Linked DNA regions of Elephas maximus indicus. The protein of the gene in region 2 interacts with the protein of the main gene of each other region in a biochemical or structural test. Links are inferred from orthologs where the notes say so. Each region holds a gene or a part of one and is shown on either strand. Other genes may lie near its edges.

What was found.
Region 1: of the proteins of ATM (region 2) and RPA2, one has a biochemical effect on the other in vitro, tested with the Homo sapiens proteins (3 studies listed by BioGRID). The link is inferred for Elephas maximus indicus from reciprocal best matches to the Homo sapiens genes ATM and RPA2.

Annotation. Positions count from the first base shown.
Region 1 is NC_064821.1:68,318,046-68,328,592, forward strand, and holds the start of RPA2 (replication protein A 32 kDa subunit), read right to left. Parts: upstream 5,052-10,547; 5' UTR 4,837-5,051; coding exon 4,827-4,836; intron 4,566-4,826; coding exon 4,459-4,565; intron 839-4,458; coding exon 737-838; intron 1-736. UniProt on the Homo sapiens protein: As part of the heterotrimeric replication protein A complex (RPA/RP-A), binds and stabilizes single-stranded DNA intermediates that form during DNA replication or upon DNA stress.
Region 2 is NC_064825.1:11,423,645-11,434,138, reverse strand, and holds the start of ATM (serine-protein kinase ATM), read left to right. Parts: upstream 1-5,185; 5' UTR 5,186-5,545; intron 5,546-9,940; 5' UTR 9,941-9,970; coding exon 9,971-10,042; intron 10,043-10,126; coding exon 10,127-10,239; intron 10,240-10,494. Other genes in the region: protein NPAT, read right to left, coding at 4,855-4,891.

The sequences.
Region 1 (10,547 bases), on a different chromosome or scaffold from region 2:
AGAGCTGTGCCCCTTTAGTCTTAGTTTGTTTTATGGGTCTGTCCCATCTTTGGCTGAAGGGTAAACCTTAGGAGTGACTTCATTCCTGAGTTGAAAGGGTGTCCGGGATCCATACTCTTGGGGTTTCTCCAGTCTCTGTCAGGCCAGCAAGTCAGGTCTATCTTTTTGAGTTAGTATTTTGTTCTACGTTTTTCTCCAGCTCTGTCTGGGACCCTCTACTGTGATCCCTATCAGAACAGTCAGTGGTGGTAGCCGGGAACCATCTAGTTGTTCTAGACTCAGTTGGGTGGCAGCCGTGGTAGATGTGGTCTGTTAGTCCTCTGGACTAATCTTTCCTTTGTATCTTTAGTTCTTCATTTTTCCTTGCTCCCGAAGGGGTGAGAGTTTTCTTCATTTTTCCTTGCTCCCGAAGGGTTGAGACCAGTGGAGTATCCTAGAGGGTCGCTCATAGGCTTTTAAGATCCCAGACGCTACTCACCAAAGTAGAACGTAGAACATTTTCTTTATAAACTGTGTTATGCCAGTTGAGCTAGATGTTCCGCAAGACCATGGTTCCCATAGCCCTTAGCCCAGAAATTTAGTCCCTCAGGGAGTTTGGATATGTCCATGGAGCTTCCATGACCTTGCCTTGCACAAGTTGTCAGACTTACATATTTTTTTAAAACTTACATAAAAAATAAGTCTTACTACATTCTTCACATGATTAAATGACTCTTCCACAAATTCTTTTACATACCTGTGAAATCTCAACATTGCCAATTTTGAACACTTCATCAACCAGAGTGGCAGAAAGCAGCTGGGATATGGTACAGGGTACAATGTGCTGGGCTCGGGCTCTCTAAAAAGAAAAAGTATGCATAAATTCAATTAAGAAAAGAATAACTACCACTCATTTAACACCTGCTATGGTATTAAGGGAGCCTTGACGGCACAGTGGTTAAGAGCTAACCAAAACACTGGCAGTTTATATCCACCAGCCGCTCCTTAGAAACCCCATGGGGCAGTTCTACTCTGTCCTATAGGGTCCCTACGAGTCAGAACTGACTTGATGACAAGTTTTTTAGCTTTATGGTGTTAAGGAAGGAGCTCTGGTGGCACAGTGGTTAAAGCACTTGGCTACTGAGAAGTTGACAGCTGGAACCCGCCAGCCACTCCACGGGAGAAATATGTGGCAGTCTGCTTCCCTAAAGATTTACAGCCTTGGAAACTCTGTGGACAGTTCTAGTCTGTCCTTTAGGGTCGCTATGAGTCAGAATTGACTTGAAGGCAGTGGGTTTGGTTTTGGTGGGTTATAGTCGGAATTGACTCGATGGCACTAGGTGGGTTTAGTGTTAAGGAGCCCTGGTGGTACAACGGTTAAGCACTCAGCTAACCAAAAGGTCAGGGGTTTGAACCCACCAGCCGCTCTGCAGAAGATGGGGCAGTCTGGTTCCGTAAAGATTTACAGCTTTAGAAACCTTTTAAGGCAGTTCTACTCTGTCCTATACGGTCACCGTGAGTCAGAATCAAATCAATGGCAACAGGTACATGCCAAGCACTTTACATGTATATAACATCAAAGCTTCAAAACGAAGCTCATTAACCCTGCTCTACAGAGATGGAAACCAAGGTCATATAGCTAATAAATACCAGAATAAGAATTCATATTAAGTTTGTCTGAATCTCAAGCTCCTCGTGAATGGGTAAGTTCATGTTGCACTGGGAATTCACCACAATGAGGCAGCCAGAGTGCGACAGCATATGAAAGCGTAACGTGCTGCCAGAGACAGCTCTAAGAGGAAACCCCAGCCTCAGGCTGGAGGCAGGCTAGAGTTGGTATTCAAGCCACCAACAAGATGAGATGTTATTGGGAAAAGGTCTGAAAATGCCCAGGAGAGGCAGCACTTTAGAGAGAATTGCTCCAGGCCTTGGATAAAATACAACAAAAAGTTAAAAAGTATAGCTTCCTTTAGGGAAGATGTTGTGACAGTCACCACACTGGACATCTTAAAGGGAAGAAACAGAATGAGGATGGCAGAAGCATGTTCAGTGAGGACACTCAAATCACACCCTACCACAGCCTGGCAATACTGTAAACTCTTATTTCTGCCTACCAAGGTAAACCGAATAATATAAAGATGGGGTAGAATTTGCCCTTGAGTAACTCCTAATTTAGGGAAGATACAAATGTAAACAACAAACCTGATCTTGATATACTACAGAATTACACATGCTATGCCATCTCAGAAAAACTCACTAATTCTGCCTAGGGAATTTCAAAAAGTCTCTCCAGCATTTGAGCTGGACTTTGATGCATGAGAATTTTGATAGTGGAAAAACAGTGGGTAAAGGACGGGCATTCTAGTCTAAGGGCTCACAGAGGGACTATGTATGAGGCAGAAAAGCCACGGAAGATTAAACATTAGAATCCTTCCTTTCCAAAATCAATAAAAAGTAACTTAATAACTGTAAGACAGAACATAATAGACTTCATGGATTTAGCAGTCCCAGCTTTGACTTAAAGATTCATGCTGCTGGCAATGTTTCACTTTGCTGAAGCATAATTTTGAACGATGAGTACCCGGAATTGGTATGAAGTAAGCCTAGCTAACCGCTATGTCACGAAGGAAGGAGACTAAGCTTGGGGGTTAAGGTTACAACCCGAATGCAGTCAACAACAACCACTCAAGAGTAGTGTGCTCTTGGACATGTTTCTTAACTCATATGCACATTAGTTTCCTCAGCTGTTCAACTGGGAATGATAAAGTCAGGAAAATTAAATGCAATAATATGGTAATATACTTAGAATATTGCCTGGAACATCATAAGCACTCAGCATTAGCAGTTTTATTAACTATTGCTCCTCACTGCTCATACCTGCAATAACCTTCAAAAGGATGTGAAGGAATCTAGTATGTTTTCCCATTTTACTTTATTGTATCCACAGGTGAAGTTATGATACATCAGTATTCACAAACGTAGAATCTACACAGGCCCCAGGATTTTTCTCTCACAAATAATGTACTATATTTTCTGTTTTCACCTATCACAGCTGAGATTCTCATCACGTCTTCAGTATTAAGAAAACTAAGAGCCAGTATGGTAACGGTGGCAAAAACATGGATTCAGAGCCAGACGGTCCTGCAGACCTTATAAAAATGGTGGTTTCATATCGTACTGTCAGAGTTGCCTGTGGTTCATTGTCAACTATGAAAAAATACTTGACAGCAACTGATATACATTATATATTTCAACAACTTGAAGAATAGATATTTTACAGAAGAGGTGGTAACGTGTCCAGGGCTTAGCAGCTAGGATTTGAACATAGGTCTGCAGGACTGTTTGGCTCTGAATCCACGTTTTTGCCATACTGGCTCTTAGTTTGGTTCAACCAAATATAACAGGTTCATACTCAACAGGGGATATTTCAGACAGGCACATTTATCTAATTTACTGTAGAAAAAGCACTAGATTCAAAAACATGACCTCTGGGTTTGAGTCCCCAACTTGTGACTAAGCTATCTTAATACACAGTCTGAGCTAGGGATTCTGAGATAAATAAAAGGACGAGAACCAGTATCTATCCACCTGTTTTCTCCTTCACAACCCCAAGGAAGACAAAGCTAGAAGACTGGAATCTCCTCTGGTCTTCCTGGGAAAAAGAAAATTACAATTAGAGAAAAGGCTGCCCACCAGATTTGGATTTGCACAGCATCATGTGTGCACTGTCCTGGTTTTAGCTATTTACTAGCTTTGTAACCTTGGGTAGTTCCTTCACCTCCCTGAGCCTCTGCCGTACGATGGAGTAAACAAAAAGGATTATATGAAATAGTACATATAAAAATATAAACAAAAAATACCGAAACCCGTTGCCATAGTTGATTTTGACTCATATCGACCCTACAGGAAAGAGAACTACTCCATAGGGTTTCCAAAGAGCGGCTGGTGGATTCGAATTGCCCTTTGGCTAGCAGCCCTAGCTCTTAACCACTGCACCAACAGGGCTCCTATGTAATATAACATATCAAGTCCCAACCTTGTGAGGCATATATTATCAACCCCATTTAATAAGTCCAAAACTGACTCCCAAGTAAAGTGTCAGAGCAAGAAAACACAGGTCTATTTGACTTCAAAACCCATGTTCTTCCCCCCACCCCTATTCCGTGTTTCACCTCCTGGCTACGTGAATACATGAAGAGTGCAAAATATGCATTAAACACAAGTTCAGAGTTTTCCCACGGATTCATGGCTATTTCGATAAATTTCAAAACAAAGCCAAGGAAACAATGGATGCAAAATTAGGGAAGATTTCATTTTTAAAACTTACAGCACCTAATTACAGAAAACATGAGCAATAACCGGTAATTACCGAACCAGTTCATATTTAATACCCTTCATATGCCGCATAAATTTTCTCTCATAGACGAGTTACGAGCTTTAGAACAGGATAGAATAAAACGAAACACCCTTTGAACCTACTGATTTCTTTTCAGCTTGAGTAGGTGTGGGCGACCCAAAGCCCCCCGGGGACTGTGTGTAGCCGCCGGCGCCACCATAGGCGGAGCTGCCATAGTTTTCAAATCCACCTGTTTCAAACAACACTATCAGTATCTGCGCCGCTTTCCAGGCCTCTGAAAATTCCACAAGTCCTTACAAACCTCACCCCTCTCAAACACTCCCACCGTCTCCCGAATGTTCCTCAGCACCTTTCCCCGCCCCGCGAACTCCCCCGCCCGCCTCTCCGGTTCCTGCCCCTTCCCCCTCCCCATGTCTCTCCGTCCCCAGGCTCTCCGTCCCGCTAAATCCTCCTCGCGATTCTCAGTCTCCTCCGCCCCACCCATATTTACTATTCCACATTTTGGTAGTGACTCCGTCAGGATCCAATCTAGTGAGTCGGCGGGGCACCTCAGGGCCCTACAGTTGTCGCAGCAGCGTATCTACTTTTCGCTGGCGCCACAAACTCCTTCCCGCGAACGACGGAGCCAATCAGCGTCCAGGACGCTTCTACCTTCAGCCAATCAAAGCTCGCGAATCCTACGCTTCTTCCTGTCTTCTCTGGCCCTGTGTCTGAAAACTCGCTCTCTGCTCCCTGAGGGGCCGGAAGCTGCGAGACCGGCCTAGCAGACGGAAGCGGAAAGCCGGAAGAGGGCCCAAGAAAACAACCAATCAAAATAATAGTTCTAAATTCTAGGCCGCATAACCGCACCCCTGCCAAATGAGTGACATTTACGTCACTTCCTTTGCTGGGCGCCTTCCTGTTCCCGCCAAACTGTCACCATTTTGACGCCCTAACCTAAAGCGCTGTGGTGAAATTCTTGCTTCTGCGCTCATAACCCGCGTATTTGCACACCCCAGGGACTCACAGTAGTAGCCTTGTAGCACCTCGTGGGATTGTTTGTTCTTCTCCAGAAGGAGCCAAGTTCTGTCCCTGTTTAGCGACTCTGTTTTTGTGATTCTTCCTAGCGAGGCCATAAGACACTTACATCCTCTTCCCCATGATGCCCTTTCCCCAACTCAGTGTAAATCCAGGCCCGACATCCATCTCAAAAGACAGCCATTTTATATTCCAGTATTCTTCAAATAATATGATTGTGCCCTTCCTATAGACAGTGGACAATGTCTGGTTTGCTCTAAGCACTACTAGATTATTAGATTTTTTTTTTCCATTTATTTACTTGAAAATATTTGATGCCTCCTGTTCCAGGCTCTGTGCTGGACACTGGGATTTAACAGTAAATATACTAGACATGGTCCCTGGGCATTTATAAAATTGCAGGCACTGTCTTAAGCATTTTACGTTTATTAACTCAACCCTATAAGGTTTTTCTTTTTTTTATAAGGTAGGTAGTGTTATTGTCTCCTCATTTAGGAGATAAAATTGAAGCCGTTATTTCCTGTCCTTGAGCATAAAGAATTCAACCTAGCTGGAGCTGGACTCCTAAGGACACATCAACTGGGCCCTGAGGTATAAAAACAATAGCTAGGACAATCTTGGAAAACGTCTTTTAGGGAAACTCTCACATACACGCAGCACTAAAGACCCACACATGTTCCACTCTTATGTCTTTTTATTAGGGTTTAGTAAATAGTAGGAGTTGTTGGACCAATGAAGACTCTTCTGACTGTCATCACTGAAACCCCTACCAATGATTATTAAGAAAAACAATTTAAAACGTAGAATCATGATAATTTAGCAGTTTTTAGCCAGTATGTGAAAAGATGAAGCTTTCAGCGATTTTATCCATTCATAATGTTAATATATACTGATGATTCTGTAATATTCCTTGGACTTGGGCAGACATGGCTCTGGCAGCATGCATGCCCATTTTCCACTTTTGTGCCTTCAAAAATATGCTGAATAAAACCTTTCTTTTTGCTTTACTATCACTTTCTGGTAATTTTACCCTAGGACACCCCCATTTTACAGAAGAGAAAACTGAGTCTGCATCCAAAGCCAGCAAGTCTGATTCCATCAACCAGTGCAATTACTATACCTCCTAGAACATCTCAGAACTGGGTCACACGCTTAAATGACCACTGGGGACAGTCAGTAAAACCGTAAATGTAATGGACTGGATAACAGAGGAACTAAATTTTCACTTTTTTTCACCAGAGTAAGACGAATAACCACCTAAGCATAATGATAAATCGTTACTGATATATAAAGAGTATGAGCCCAGTGTTGCCAGCTTTTTAGTAGAAGCCAGATATCTGGATTTTTATGTGAAAATTTTTGAACCGTAAGCTTTTGCAAATTAATCATTTAAAAAAGACTGTTACCCAGGGCCCCTATCTCAGTTGAACCCAACCAGATCCGTGACGCCCAATAAGACTATTTGAAGCAGCCTGGAGTCACACAAGCAAATTAATTTTGCCGGCAGCTAGCAAAAGGAAACAGTATGGGCTAGAACCTTCGGAGAGACTGTCTCCCCGATTTGCCTAAGAGCCAACTATTTAAGGGTTTAGACAAGGAGGGGTATTGATGTTTATTCATGAGGTTTTCGGGGGAAAGGGCGGAGATTTCTGAGGAAGGGTTGGGTTAGGTAAATGCAGGTGCACATGTGGCACTTCTTCAAGATGGAAGTCCTTTGGTTCCCCTTGACATGACTCATTATGGGATGTGATACAGGCGCACTGGTTTTCTTTGTCACATCGCCCGCTTCTGCGGGCTCGGGAAGGCCAAACAGTGGTCACTCTTAACTTCTTTTGCATGTGCTCTGCACCTGTGGAGACCTGCAAGCTCTACATCAACAATTTATTTGCAACATCCTAGAACATTTCAGTTCGTGTCACCCCGCAGCTGAAACATTCTGCCCCACAGGGCCTGTGCGTTCCGTTCTAATCTCCAGGCGGTGGGTTATGGTTGCACCAGTGCCAGTAGGTCAGGTTGTTTATTCTACTGTCTGTCCTGTTCGACCTTTTCCCAGTCTATGTGCTGGGGGCCCAACCAGTCTGCTTCAGCCTAATTCTGTCTCAAGACCGTGTGGGCCAAACAAAAGATACTTGGGAGCCAGATGTTGCTTGTGTGTCATCTCTTTCTTATATAAATTCTGTAAGCTTCCAAACCATCACTGAGAATTAAACAAGATATAGCCAAAGACAGAAGTCTGAGGCAGAAACGAGATGACATTATTATATTAATCCTAAAGTGATTAGAACATACATAGTATGACAAGTAAAAGCATATTTATGGGAATATTAGGATAAAATGTTATGAATTAAGACTATTCTGGGAAATTTAAGATGTTAGGTTAATCTACCTCATTTCGGGTTCAACTAGTTATAAATTCAGCTGAGGAGAGTATACGCTTAAAAATAAAATCCAAAGTGAAGCCAGAATGTCTTAACTTAGAGCATAATAACCATCAAAATATGATTTCACATCTTTTCAACACCTCCATGAGCAGGTAAGTTGAATAGAGGGTTCAGGTCTGAATCAGCATTAAAATAGTGTTTCCCTTTTTTTGGTGTGTGTGTAGTAATTTCATCTCTCAAGGTTTGGTTTTAATTGGGAGTCTTCCTGTCACATAGAAGGGATTTCTTTAATTACCCTCTTCCAGGTAGGGGCATAGTTCATTATTCCCAGACTTGGGACTGCTAGGGAAATTGCAGCAAGAGTAAGTAGAAGAGAAATTATCTTTTAAAACAATCTGGTGTTTATTGAGTACATACCACGTGCCAGGTACATCCATTATATCTGTGCTAGGTGCTCAATATGCATTCTCTCTGAATGTTTTTGATCTACAGTTATAATCCCCGAGGTCATTTTGCCTCCGCTTTATGAATACAAATATTTTCATCAGAATTGTTCTGACATTGATGGATTTTTCATTGAGACTTAATTCTCTGTTCAGTTTTCTATACAGTTCAATTTAGTGATTTCTAATTTTTTTTCCACTTTTCTTTTTTTACAATTATTTGTATGTGGATCAATTCTTTGCTGGGCGAATTTTACAATGAGGGTTTAATTCATCGTTTAAATTTGATCCATGCCCAATTTTACACATCTGGTACTGTAGTTTTATGGGTGCGCATTATCTATCAAGTACAATTTGATTCAGGGTGACTTTTTGCAGTTTCCAACATTATACATAAGATGTGATTTTTTCCTTTCTTTTTTTGGGTGGGGGGGGGCTAAGACAAATGTTACTGGGTGGAGTTTTTGTCATTTTCTGTTTTATATGGTCCTGATTATTTCTACCAGTAATGGTCATTATGAATTGGCTAATACTGATAGAATTCTCTATTACTGATGGAGAGGCTCTTATATGTACAGAAGAACATCCACAACTATTTGTTTAATGTTCAATTTATTGAATTCTTTTAGCCAATAAAACCTGAAACCAACCTTTTGAGTATGTGAACATTGTTTACAGACTCAACTAAATATCCTTAAAATTTTAAACTGCAGTTAAAGTTTTAGTATGACTGATTCTTATGAACATATCAAATATCTGTAAGAGCAGACAACACATACCAAAACAATCGTTTATTGTGAAGCTAATGAAGCTTACGTTTCAGAGTCCTTTGCTTGATGGCCCCTCCCAAGGCCCCTTCTTTTCTCTAGATAAAGGACCACACAAATTATATCAGCTTCAGGCCCCACAAAAATTGGATCCTCTTGTCCCATGCTTCCTAGAATCATTGCTTTACTTATTTTGTTTTCCTCCTACAGTTTATGTAATATTTTGATTCCTTCCTGGGCTTTCAGAAATCTGACCAAAACCAAAGGAAAAGGAAATGCCATCTTCACCCAGGTGAGGTTACTGTATCTGGGTCTTTAATCAATTGATTTTTGGTCATAACTCAAGACCTACTCCTATGTCTCAAAGGGTTTCTCACCCAGGCAACAAATTACCAGGCTGAGCTTCATTTTTGTTATGTCCGTACAGGTAAACAAACAGGTTTATATGAAATAGTATATATAAAAAATATAAACCAAAAAAAAACCAAACCTGTTGTCGATTCTGAAGCCGTCAACTCATAGGTTCTTGCCAAGCAGACTAGCGAATTGAAGTCAGCCAGACACAGGGTTGGAAAAACAGAAAGGTTTATTCACAGTTTGCAACCTGGGAGGCAAGCAGGGTCTCCTGACCTAAGGCTGCCAGCTCCCTGAACCAGGGCAGATTTGCTCACTTTATAGGGAGTGACATACATATGTATGAACAGTGAGGGGAAGATCTTCAGTCTTGTGATGCCTGCTCAGTCCGCATAATTTTAGTGAATGAATTTCTGTGCACAGCTCTAAAAATATTGTGCACAGCCCTAAAAAAAATGTTAACAGCTCACTACTGCCACCCCAGGAAGGTCATATAGCAGGTAGATTTGCAGTCAGTGCCCTGTCCCCTCCGCCTGCTGCCAGGAGAGGAGAAGAAACACAGGGATTTGACCAATCATAGTGAAGTGCTTTAAATGTTGTAACAAAAGTGTAGCAAGAGTAGGCTTTACTGAAAAACAACTATTATGGGATGGTTAATAACCCTTTCAAGACTGCCTGCTTCAATTCCAACTAATAGCAACCCTATAGGACAAAGTAGAACTTCTCCACAGGGTTTCCAAGCAGCGGCTGCCGATTTGAACTGCCGGCCTTTTTGGTTAGCAGCCGAGCTCTTAACCACTGTGCCACCAGGGCTCAGGCTTTAGGTTTTTTTGCAACCTGGTGTCTCTCTTCTAAGTGATGTGTTTTCAGCATTATAGAGCCCATTGTTTTGCCTGATATATTAATGGGGCCTTTTGCAATTTTGAAAATTCATATATTTTTATTAATACAATATTTTACTATAGTCATAGGTCCACCTGGAGGCATTACTTCCAAAAAGAGTCTGCAGAATTAACCCAGTTAACTTGGTAGTTCTTGAAACATTCTGTTGTTATTAGCCTTCTACTTGGTTATTGGGTGTGATCAGCCTACACCAGACTGAGCCTAGCACAGCTAGATGGTACCCGGCTACTACCACTGACTGCTCTGACAGGGATCACAATAGAGGATCCCCGTCAGAGCTGGAGAAAAATGTAGAACAAAATTCTAACTCACAAAAAAAGACCAGACTTACTGGCCTGGCAGAGAC
Region 2 (10,494 bases):
AAATATTAGTGGTTTAATGACCCTGGAGCCCTGATGAGGCAGTGGTTAAGAGCTCAGCTGCTAACCAAAAGGTTGGCAGTTCAAATTCACCAGCTGCTCCTTGGAAACCCTATAGGGCAGTTCTAATCTGTCCTATAGGGTCACTATGAGTTGGAATCAACTTGAGGGCAACAGATTTGGTTTGTAACGACTGTCATGGATTGAATTGTGTCCCCCCAAAAATATATGTCGACTTGGTTAGGCCATGTGTGATTGTCCTCCATTTTGTGATTTTCCTATGTATTATAAATCATAATCTCTGTCTGTGGTTAAAGAGAATTAGGGTGGGATGTAACACCCTCGTTCAGGCTGCATTCCTGATCCAATGTAAAAGATATTCCCTGGGGTGTGGCCTGCACCACCTTTTATCTCTCAAGAGATAAAAGGAAAGAGAAGCAAGCAGAGTGTTGGGGACCTCAAACCACCAAGATAGCAGCACCAGGAGCAGACCACATCCTTTGGACACAGGGTCTGAGAAGCTCCTCAACCAGGGGAAGATTGAGGACAATGAACTTCCTCCTGCTCTGACAGTGAGAGAAAGCCTCCCCCTGGAGCCGACGCCCTGAATTTGTACTTGTAGCCTACTAGACTGTGAGAGAATAAATTTCTCTTTGTTAAAGCCATCCACTTGTGGTATTTCTGTTATGGCAGTGCTGGATGATTAAGACAATGACCTTAAAAAGAAAAAATTCTTAGGAAAACTTAACTTACAGCACTTTATATTACTAGATACACAAATAAAAAGACAAAATCTCTGTGTATAAAAAAAGTTATGATCTACTAGGTAACAGAACATATACAAACAAATAACTATAGCATAAAGCAAAAATGTTAAGAGAAATTGTAATAACTTGCTTCATGGGAGTATAGGGGCCAGAGAAATTTCTACCAGGCTTGGGGGAAACTAGTCTATACTTCAAGGGGTGAGTCTTAAAGTATGACTGCAAATCGCAAAGGAAGTGATAGAAAACATATATGAAGAACACATTTGGGGAACATGTCCAGTTTGGATATAACACAAAGTATATTAAGGAAACAGCTGGAGATACAACTGAAAAGACAGAATGGATTCAGATCATGAAAAGTTGTAAATGTCAGGATAATGAGTACAGATATTATTCAGTAGGCAAAGGGGAATACCATGATCACAGTGGTACTTTCGTAAGTATTTACTAAATATCTAAAAATGTCTTAGCGATAGGTAAATAAGACCAGCGGTTGCTGACCTTTTGGGGGTGTGCCTGTCTTGTATCTCTTTGCCCTCAAATCCATTCTCAATTCTTCCCTTGCTCTTCACCTGCTCTGACAGGAGGGCTGATCTCATGCAGGCAGTATTTCCCATGGTCCCATGGCAGCTGACTCTGGCTGGGTTTGACCAACAGGATGTACTGGTGGGAGACTGGAGGGTAGAAGATTTTTTCTCCTATTCCCTCTCTGCCTGGAGCAGTATCTCTTATATGGCTATAAGACAGGTCCACCTTCTATCTTCCAGTAAACCCAGCCTTATCTCTCTTCTTCCTCCTGCTTAGGGTAGTGGCTTCCTGCTGCTGTTAACCTAAGTTGTTCTTTGGAGGTGCAGCTATTCTATCACAATTGTAATCAATTCCCTCATTAAATTCCCCCTGTATTAAATACTTGGATTGTCTTCTGTGTTACAGGAGGGAAGGTGGCTCCTACAGAAAGTAACAAACCTATTTAGGAATTTGAAGAAAGCTCTGGACCCTTCACCCATAAAAATACCTCCACCTGCACATAAATTTTTAATTTTGGATTTAAGTTGCAGATTAAGTTCTTGAACAAAACAAATAGGTAGGTAAACACATAGCTGCAATAAAACATGATAAACGTACGAAAGAAGTAACGGATGATGCTATGGGAGTATTTAAAGATAAAGTACTACCTGTACCTATTGGAAAAGGGTTCAGAGATCATGCTTGGCCTCAACATTGAGTACAAGCGTATCAGAAAGACAAGTAGAAAAGTACTGCGGGCAGAGGAACAGAATAAAAATATTTGGAGAAATGATAAGTAGTTTGGAGCATGTGGTAGATGTTGAGAAGCTGTGATCAAACAGAAGAGATAGATTATGATCAGTTCCACAGCCCACCTTGTATGATATACCAACAAAAACCAAACTGGTGGCCCAAAGGCAATAAACAACGATTTGATGTACTCTGGCCTGTACAATATTTAAAGAAATTCCAGAAGGCAACAGCTGGAATGTGGTTGTGGTTGACCAACGGACTGTTTAGGTGGAGCAGTGACATCACAGTCAGAGCAGTATGCTGAAGAATGAAAGATAAAGTAGAGCAAGCAAGTAAAGCTCAACGTTCTCTGAATAAGTTTGACCTATGAAAAGGTGACATACAGAGTTAGATTAAAAAAAAAAAGTGAGGCAGGGGCCAGGAAAGGGTTTTGCTGCGTGTGTGTGCTTTTAAGGGTGGAAAATTATGTAAACTCTAAGAGTAAAGATCTCTCTTTATTCTTAGAACTGGCACAGCATTTGGAATGTGCTAGGCACTGAAAGATTTGCAAAAAAAAATAATGAAGAAAAAGGGCCAATAATGAGAGGGAGAAAGGGTACTGATGGGAGCAAGAATTCTGAGCAAATACTGAAACTGTTAATATTTTAAGCCACAAAATTTTGGGATGATAGACTTGTATGTGTTGATATGGGAAGGGCTCCAAAATACAACGTTAAGGGAAAAAAAGCAAGAGCAGTAAGTGTGGGAAGACTTGCTGTTTTGGTATGTATTATACTATGGAACACTTGGAAGTTTTTTAATAACTGCATAATAGTTTTAACTTTTAAAACAGGAGGCACAGCATGAATGTGTTAGGAAAATTGTAATAACAGTAAATAAAATGGAATGCAAGAAGGAAGACTACATGGGAAGCTAAGAAAAAAATACAAGTGAGAAGTAATGGGAGGCATATTGCTAGGAGTGATTGACAGTAAAAATAGAATGCAGATGACGAAAAAGATTTTTAGGATAAGACAAGAATGCACCTGGAGTTTTCATCCATTAAAAAAAAGGAAGAAATCAAGTAGAGCAGCTGGTTTGTGGAGAATGAATACTCACAAGCTGGTGAGAATTATTCTAACTGGATAATTAGATTGCTTTCTTAAGACCACTACAGTACTCACTGGGGGGGTGATTCTGCCCATCACTCTGGACGTATTGGCAAATGTCTGGAAATATTTTTTCAATGTCAGAACTGTGGGGGGCTACCGGCATCCAGTGGATAGAGGCCAGGGATACTGCTAAACATCCCATAAAACATGGAACAGCTCCCCATAACAAAGAATTTTCTGACCCAAAATGTCAATAGTACCAAGGTTGAGAAACTGTTTCATTATTAAGACTACGGTCACTGAAAATGCAAAGGCATTACCAAACTCAAAATTTTTAAGCAAACAACATGCATGGAGGAAAAAGAAAGAATGTCAATGTATATCATGAAAGGACTTTTTGTTGGCATACATGTAGCCTAATAAATATAACCAGCTTTTTACCACAGATAAAGATGTAGGTTAACTATGTTGATAATTCAATTCTGATAAAGTCAGCAAAAGATTAACCAAACAGTAATAAAATATTAATTTAAACTTAAATCATTAAATGAGTTTCTCCAAACTTGGATGGTGGAATCCATTTCCCCCAGTGTTTCCTACAAAATGTGCTTATCAAGAACCCTGAAACGGAACAACCAGAATGGAAATAATGAGAATGTCCACACACTGTGAAGAACATAACCAATGTCACTGAACAACTTGTGTAAAAATTGTTGAATGGGAACCGAAACTGCTGTGTAAACCTTCAACAAAAATACAACAAAATATTATTTAAAAAAAAAACCTGCATAAACACCTTTTTTGGGGCAGAGCTTAGTATAGAACAAGACAAATGGGTTTTCCTAACAATAAAATTATGGCTGTGGATACTATGGAAAGTTTCAGCACAAATGTTTAGTGTTTACATTTAGGGATATCACATATTCTGTCTGTAAATCACTGGCCCAGGTTTTGAGCTTTACGTGGCGCACGTTCCCAGCAGTAGAATCTTCTTCATTCTTTCAAAGCCAAACAACAAAATCCGTTTGCCCACAGAGACAGTACACCCTGACAGACAAATGACCTAGAGAACTAATCTCTCCTCAAATGCAGAAAAAACTAACTAGAAAATGTTCAACTGGAAGGCATTTCCTCTCTAAATTTTTTGGCTAATCGAAGGAGTAAGAATCGCTGCTGTTGTAAAATATGCAACTGGCATTTCAAACCTCTACACTGGACGACTTACTCCGGGCGGGGGGAGGAAGGGAGGATCACCCCCACTGGTCCCAAATTCGTAGCTCTAAAGGCGAGTTATGCGAAGGGCGTCAGGAAGATCGTTCTACAAAGCTAGGTGCAAGGGGAAGTCCTATTTTTCCCGGTTTGGCCTCAGCTTATGATAAGGGAAAGTGCGATCAAGGTTGAAGACGCACCGTCAGTCGCCCGTCACGTAGGCAACTGTCTTTCAGGGGCTCCCACTAAGTGTCCAGGCCTGACTTTCCCTCCGAACCCGGGCCCCACGTATTCCGCTCCGTGCTTCTCTTTGGCTCTCCTCTCGCACGCAGCCTCTGAGGAGAGGAGCATCCACACAAACAAGCTTAAACTACCAAAGCCTTCGGCTGAAGGAGAATCACCGCGTACGAACTTGTGGGCGGAGAGGCAAAACCCCAAAGCTTCCCCGCCCAAGGAAAACCTTTTGCCCCAAACGTCCTTCCGTCCTACTTAGGCTGGTCCAATACCCTCCCTCCTGCGTCCGCGCTTACCCAAAACCAGCCGGGCTACGTCCGAAGGTAACAACATGATAGAAGCCGCAGAAAAAAATCACAATAAGAGACTAAACTAAGATAAGGGCAAACACAGCAACTGCTCCTGCGCCGCATCTCCCGGTTCCACTGGCGGTACTGAACCCGCGGCAATTTGTCCCGCCTCTTTTGCTCCACGCCAGCCAATCGCTTCCGCGGGAGAAAGAAAGGCGCCGAAATGAAACCCGCCCCCGTTCTCCTTGACCGGACGTCATTTCCGTCCTCATATTTTGAGGGGTGGGGCAGATGAGAGCGAGGAGGTGGAGTGCAAGCGCAAGAGCCGGAGCTAGAGGCCGGGCGTCAATTGAAAGGTCTCTCCCCATTGGTGGGAAGGAAAGCGCAGGCGCGTGTCCTCAGTGGAGCCGAATGTTTTGGGAGTGCGAGTGTTTTGAGCGAAGGAAAGCGTGTGATGTGCGGCGCGCATGGGCAGAATGTGCGCAGGCGCCGGCTCGGCGTGGCTTCTTCCTTGCCAGACGGACGCTGCGCAGTCACGCCAGGTTTGAACCGGAAGCGGGAATAGGTGCGTGGATAACGGGTTCGAGAAGCTGCAGCCGCAGGAGGAGGCGAGAGGATCGCGGATTTGAGCAGTAGCCACTGCCGACTCAGGCGATACGACTCTGGCCACCAGTGCCGTTACCGTCAGAGCCCAGCGGTAGGAGCACGGAAGCAGGTTTTGGGGTTGTGCGATGGGGAGTTCAGCCTTACCGAATCCACCTGTCCTCGCCCCCAGATGCCGAGCCTCACGCACTCTGCCAGTAAAAACCCTTTAATCCCTCTGCTTCAGCACATTCTCTGCACTCCTTTCCCGCCCCCCACCGGGTTTAGCCGTCACCCTCTTGCGCGCCTCTTTTATTTTTACTGCCCAGATTTGCCTAGTTGACTTTTTTTCTTTCATACTTTTTTTCTTTCATAATTATTGCTTCCAATCGGCAGCCATTTATTGATGCCTAAATTACAGCCTCGTGGTTAAAGAACATAGGCTCGGTGCCAGTGCACATTCTTGCGTGAGTTGGAATCTGTCAGCTGTGTGACCTCGCTGTGCTGTCTTCCATCTGAGAATAAATGAGATAATCCTTTCCTGTGGTGAGCACCCATGGGTATCCTGATTTTACCAGGTGCAGTTAAGTGAAAAGACAATTACAATTCAAGGTGATAATGTGATAGAAGACTATTGTGATGGTGGAGAAGTTGAGTCAGGTTTGTGTGGGAACTCAGCCTAGGAAGATTAGTTTGTGGTGAGACCTTGCAGTGTCAGAATTGCCCCTGGAGAATAGTAGGAGCCTTCCAGACAGGAAAAGTGCATGCGAAGGCACAAAAGTGTTGAAGGTTCCTGAAGCACAAGAGAGGGAGGTCTGGCGTTGAATGAAATAGATTTCAGAGTCTTCAACATGTTGAAGTGATGGGAACGGATGACATCACACCAAGAGAACATGGTGTGAGAAGTATGGAGACTAGGATTTTCTTTCATGTGTAGGTGGAAGAAGAACCACTCTTCAAAAGGAACTAACGATGAAGCAGTCAGAAAGGAAAGGAATAATGATGATTGCTAGCATTTATCGAGCATTTGCTTTTTTTCCAGGCACTGTGTTAAACACAGGGCTTTGAACTGGTTCTTCCTGGTTCAGTCATGGCCCAGGAAGTGAATTTTCAAAATTTGTTTGAACTAGAATGATAACCTGAGTGGAAAAATTACAGGCAGAAACCTTGTTGGAAACTTAATCTCCCTTTTAGAAAACAAGGGCAGTGTATGCATTACATAGCAACCAGTTGTCTTGCCTGTCAGATTTTCAGCGGAGTGGGAAACAGCATGCATAGCTTAAAGATTTCTGCTGACTGGACTGCTTTGAATGTGTGTTGCTCTCCTCAGTCCTGCCAATAATCCAGTCTCACACATTAGGCCCCTGAAAGGGCTCACTGCCCTTTTCCCAGTCTTCCATTCCAGGGCTTTGAATGTAATTTTTCCAGGATTCCAACAAATACAGTCTGACTGCAGGACCCACACTTCTAACCACAGGAAAAGGATGGCATGCCAAGGGCAGAGTTATTTTCAGGAAGGTAGAGGGTAGACATCATCATTCTGCAAAGGGATCAGGTTGAGATCTAAAATGGAATGTTGGATTTGCTCATTCACAGGCTGTTGTATATATATGTGTGTTTGTATATATATGTGCGTATGTATAGTGTCAGTTGAATGTTGGGAACCTAGATAGCTCTGGATTAATGTATGAATGGAGTTCAACTTCATCTGGTGATACTCTTTTATAACTCACTAATCCCTCTGTCCTTTCATTTCTTCCAGCATACAAACTCTTTTCCATCTTAGGACCCTTTGGTTATGGTAGCCTTCCTCCCTGAAACTTTGGTCTTCTAGCTTTTCCTATAATTGACATCATTTCGTTTTGATTTAGAGTTTATTATAGCCACAGCTGAGAGATGTCCCCTGACAGTTTATCCGAAATCATCCTCTTTCCATTTTCCATCAAAGTACTTTTGTTTCCTTTGAGGCATATATCATAATTTGTAATTATGCATTGATTTATCAGTTTGTTTATTGGCATTCTCTCTTACTAGATGATGAACTCTATGAAGGTAAGATTTTTGTCTCTTTAGTCCATTATACATCTAAAAACCAAAACCAGACTCACTGCCACTGAGTCAATTCTGTCTCAGTCGTCCAGTGCTGCTATAACAAAAATACCACAAGTGGATGGTTTTAACAAAGAGAAATTTATTCTCTCACAGTCTACTAGGCCAGAAGTCCGAATTCAGGGTGGCAGCTCCAGGGGAAGGCTTTCTCTCTCTGTCGGCTCTGGGGCAAGGTCCTTGTCATCAATCTCCATCCGTTGAGAAACTTCTCAGCACAAGGACCCTGGGTCTCATTTCTTTGTGGTATGAGATCCCAGTCTCTCTACTTGATTCTCTCTTTTATATCTCAAGAGATGGATTTAAGATACAACCTAATCTATAGACTGGGTCCTGCCTCATTAACATAACTGCCTCTAACCCTTCCTCATTAACATCATAGAGGTAGAATTTACAACACATAGGAAAATCACATCAGATGACAAAATGGTAGACAATCACACAATACTGGGAATTATGGCCTAGCCAAATTGACACACATAATTTTGGGGAGGACACAGTTCAGTCCGTAACACTGACTCGTAGTGACTATATAGAACAGTAGAACCTCCTCATAGGGTTTCCAAGGGCTCCCTGGTGGATTTGAATTGCCAACCTTTTGAATAGCAGCCGAGCTGTTAACCACTGTGCCACCAGTGCTCCATTATATGTCTAGCTATCCCTAAATTGTACCTGGAAGCAGCAGGTGCCCAGCAGTAGTGTTTGCATATTATCAGTGAATGAACATCTCCTGTTTGTGTAAATGCTGATATTAAACTGTCTTGTTTTCTTCCAAGTAATTAATCTTTGAGAAACTGAGGAGAGAAAAAACAAATTTAGAAAAGCCACAGCTTGAAAAAAAAAGTCAAGTTTAAGGCTACTTCTTCTTGGAAGTATCACAGGTTCAGTAAACATGCGTCTTTTCATATCAGAAAGAACATCTTTAGTGTGTTTAGGAATAAAAGTGTATTACTAATGTGTTTTCATATTGCTAATGTGTCCCAATTTCATTTTCCTTATTGATTGAGTTAGGAAGTCTTTAAGATGGAAGGGGAAGGATTTCCAGATAAGTCGTAAAAAATGGAAAAATGAAAATGACAGTCTGTGTCCTTATGAAGTTACAATCAAATGAAAATGAAAATCTTGTAAATAATCTGTAAACTACAACAGTCAACTGGATGTTTTAATAGAGATAAGGGTCAGAAGAAATATCAATTAATGCAAATGGAGAAAAGAATTAGAGCTACCTGCCACTGAAATGGGTGGTCTTGTTAGGTAGTTTGCACTTATTAGAATGCTCAAAGAGAAGATAGTAATTTTGTCTCCCAGTTACTCCCAGTTTTAAGATTCTGTGAGATTAGTCAGGGCTAGAGAAACATACCTGATCTTGAAAGAATGAACAGAATTTGGAAGAATGGATAGAAGGACGTTTTCCTGCCTGTTTTCCTTTTGAGATAAGTGTACATTTAGATGTAACGTACATACAGATGTACATATTTTTATGATTATAATGAACGTTTGTAGGCTGACAGAAATGATATATATCAGAAACAATTGAATGCTGTTTTTTACAATAATTTTTTATTAAAATTTATCCAGAGAGGGTTTGATTATATTAAAACCAAAACCCACTGCTGTCGAGTCTATTCCGACTCATAGCGACCCTATAGGACAGAGTAGAGCTGCTCCATAGAGTTTCCAAGGAGCACCTGGTGGATTTGAACTGCCAACCTTTGGGTTAGCAACCATAGCACTTAACCACTGCACCACCAGGGTTTCCCGTTTTGATTATATTAGAGAACTCAAAATGAGAGAAGCTACTACAATGGAATCGAGGCAGAGTGAAATATAGTTGACCTTTGATATTTACAAGGAATACCACTATAACATGATTTCCTTCATTTCATTTCAAAACAGGAATATCATTTCCTCCTTCTTTTATTTATTAAATGAGAACCATGAAGCCAGTTGAGATGTTGAGTGCCAGGCAAGACTTACTAGCTCTGGTAGCTTCCTACGTATCAGTTCCAAAGCATGAGCAACTTAAGCTTTTGCGTCAGCAAAATGACAAGTTACTACATATGAGGGTACTTTTAAGATGGTTCAGACTGTTACTGTTAAATGCTTACGTGCTGTTTTCCTTATTCTTTGCTGGGCTGTCTTCTAATCATCTTTTGTGTCTCAAGTTAATTATGATGTATCTTGGAAGAGATCTCAGAGCATTATAATAAATATCGTTATCCTGCTGGTGGAAACAGAGCACACATTTATGTTGAAGCATTGTTTTGATCTATTCTAAGAATCACTTTAAATATGGAATTGTTAAGAAAAATCATTTGATCACATCGTACCTCAGGTTTTATAGGTAAACATAACCACGTATTGATACCACTGTTGAAATTAATTTTATTTACTTATTTTGCAGACAGTGATGTATGGCCTGAGATTCTGAACCATGAGTCTAGCACTTAATGATCTGCTTATTTGCTGCCGTCATCTGGAACATGACAGGGCCACAGAACGAAGGGTAGTGAATTACTTAAATCTTAATCTTTTCTTGAAACAGGTGTGTGATTGGTAACCTATCATCATGTTCACTTTCCATTTTCAGAAAGAAGTTGAGAAATTTAAGCACCTTATTCGGGATCCTGAAACAGTTCAGCATTTAGATAGGCATTCAGATTCCAAACAAGGAAAATTTTTGAACTGGGATGCTGTTTTTAGGTATTCTACTCTAATTTTTTTTTTTTGCTTCGTTTATTTGTAGTTCATTTTTATTTCTGTTCTGATATTTATTTGTGTGTATAGGTCTTACTCATCTTTTTCCTCATACATCATTATACCTTGCATATGAAATTGGTGCTTCATAATTTAATATAATTTTTAAAGGAGATTCAGTTAGAAAAAGTTAAAGTATTTAAGTCATTTGCAATTAAAATGTCTTAGTCATATCTAACTCAAGATTGAGAGAAAATTCTT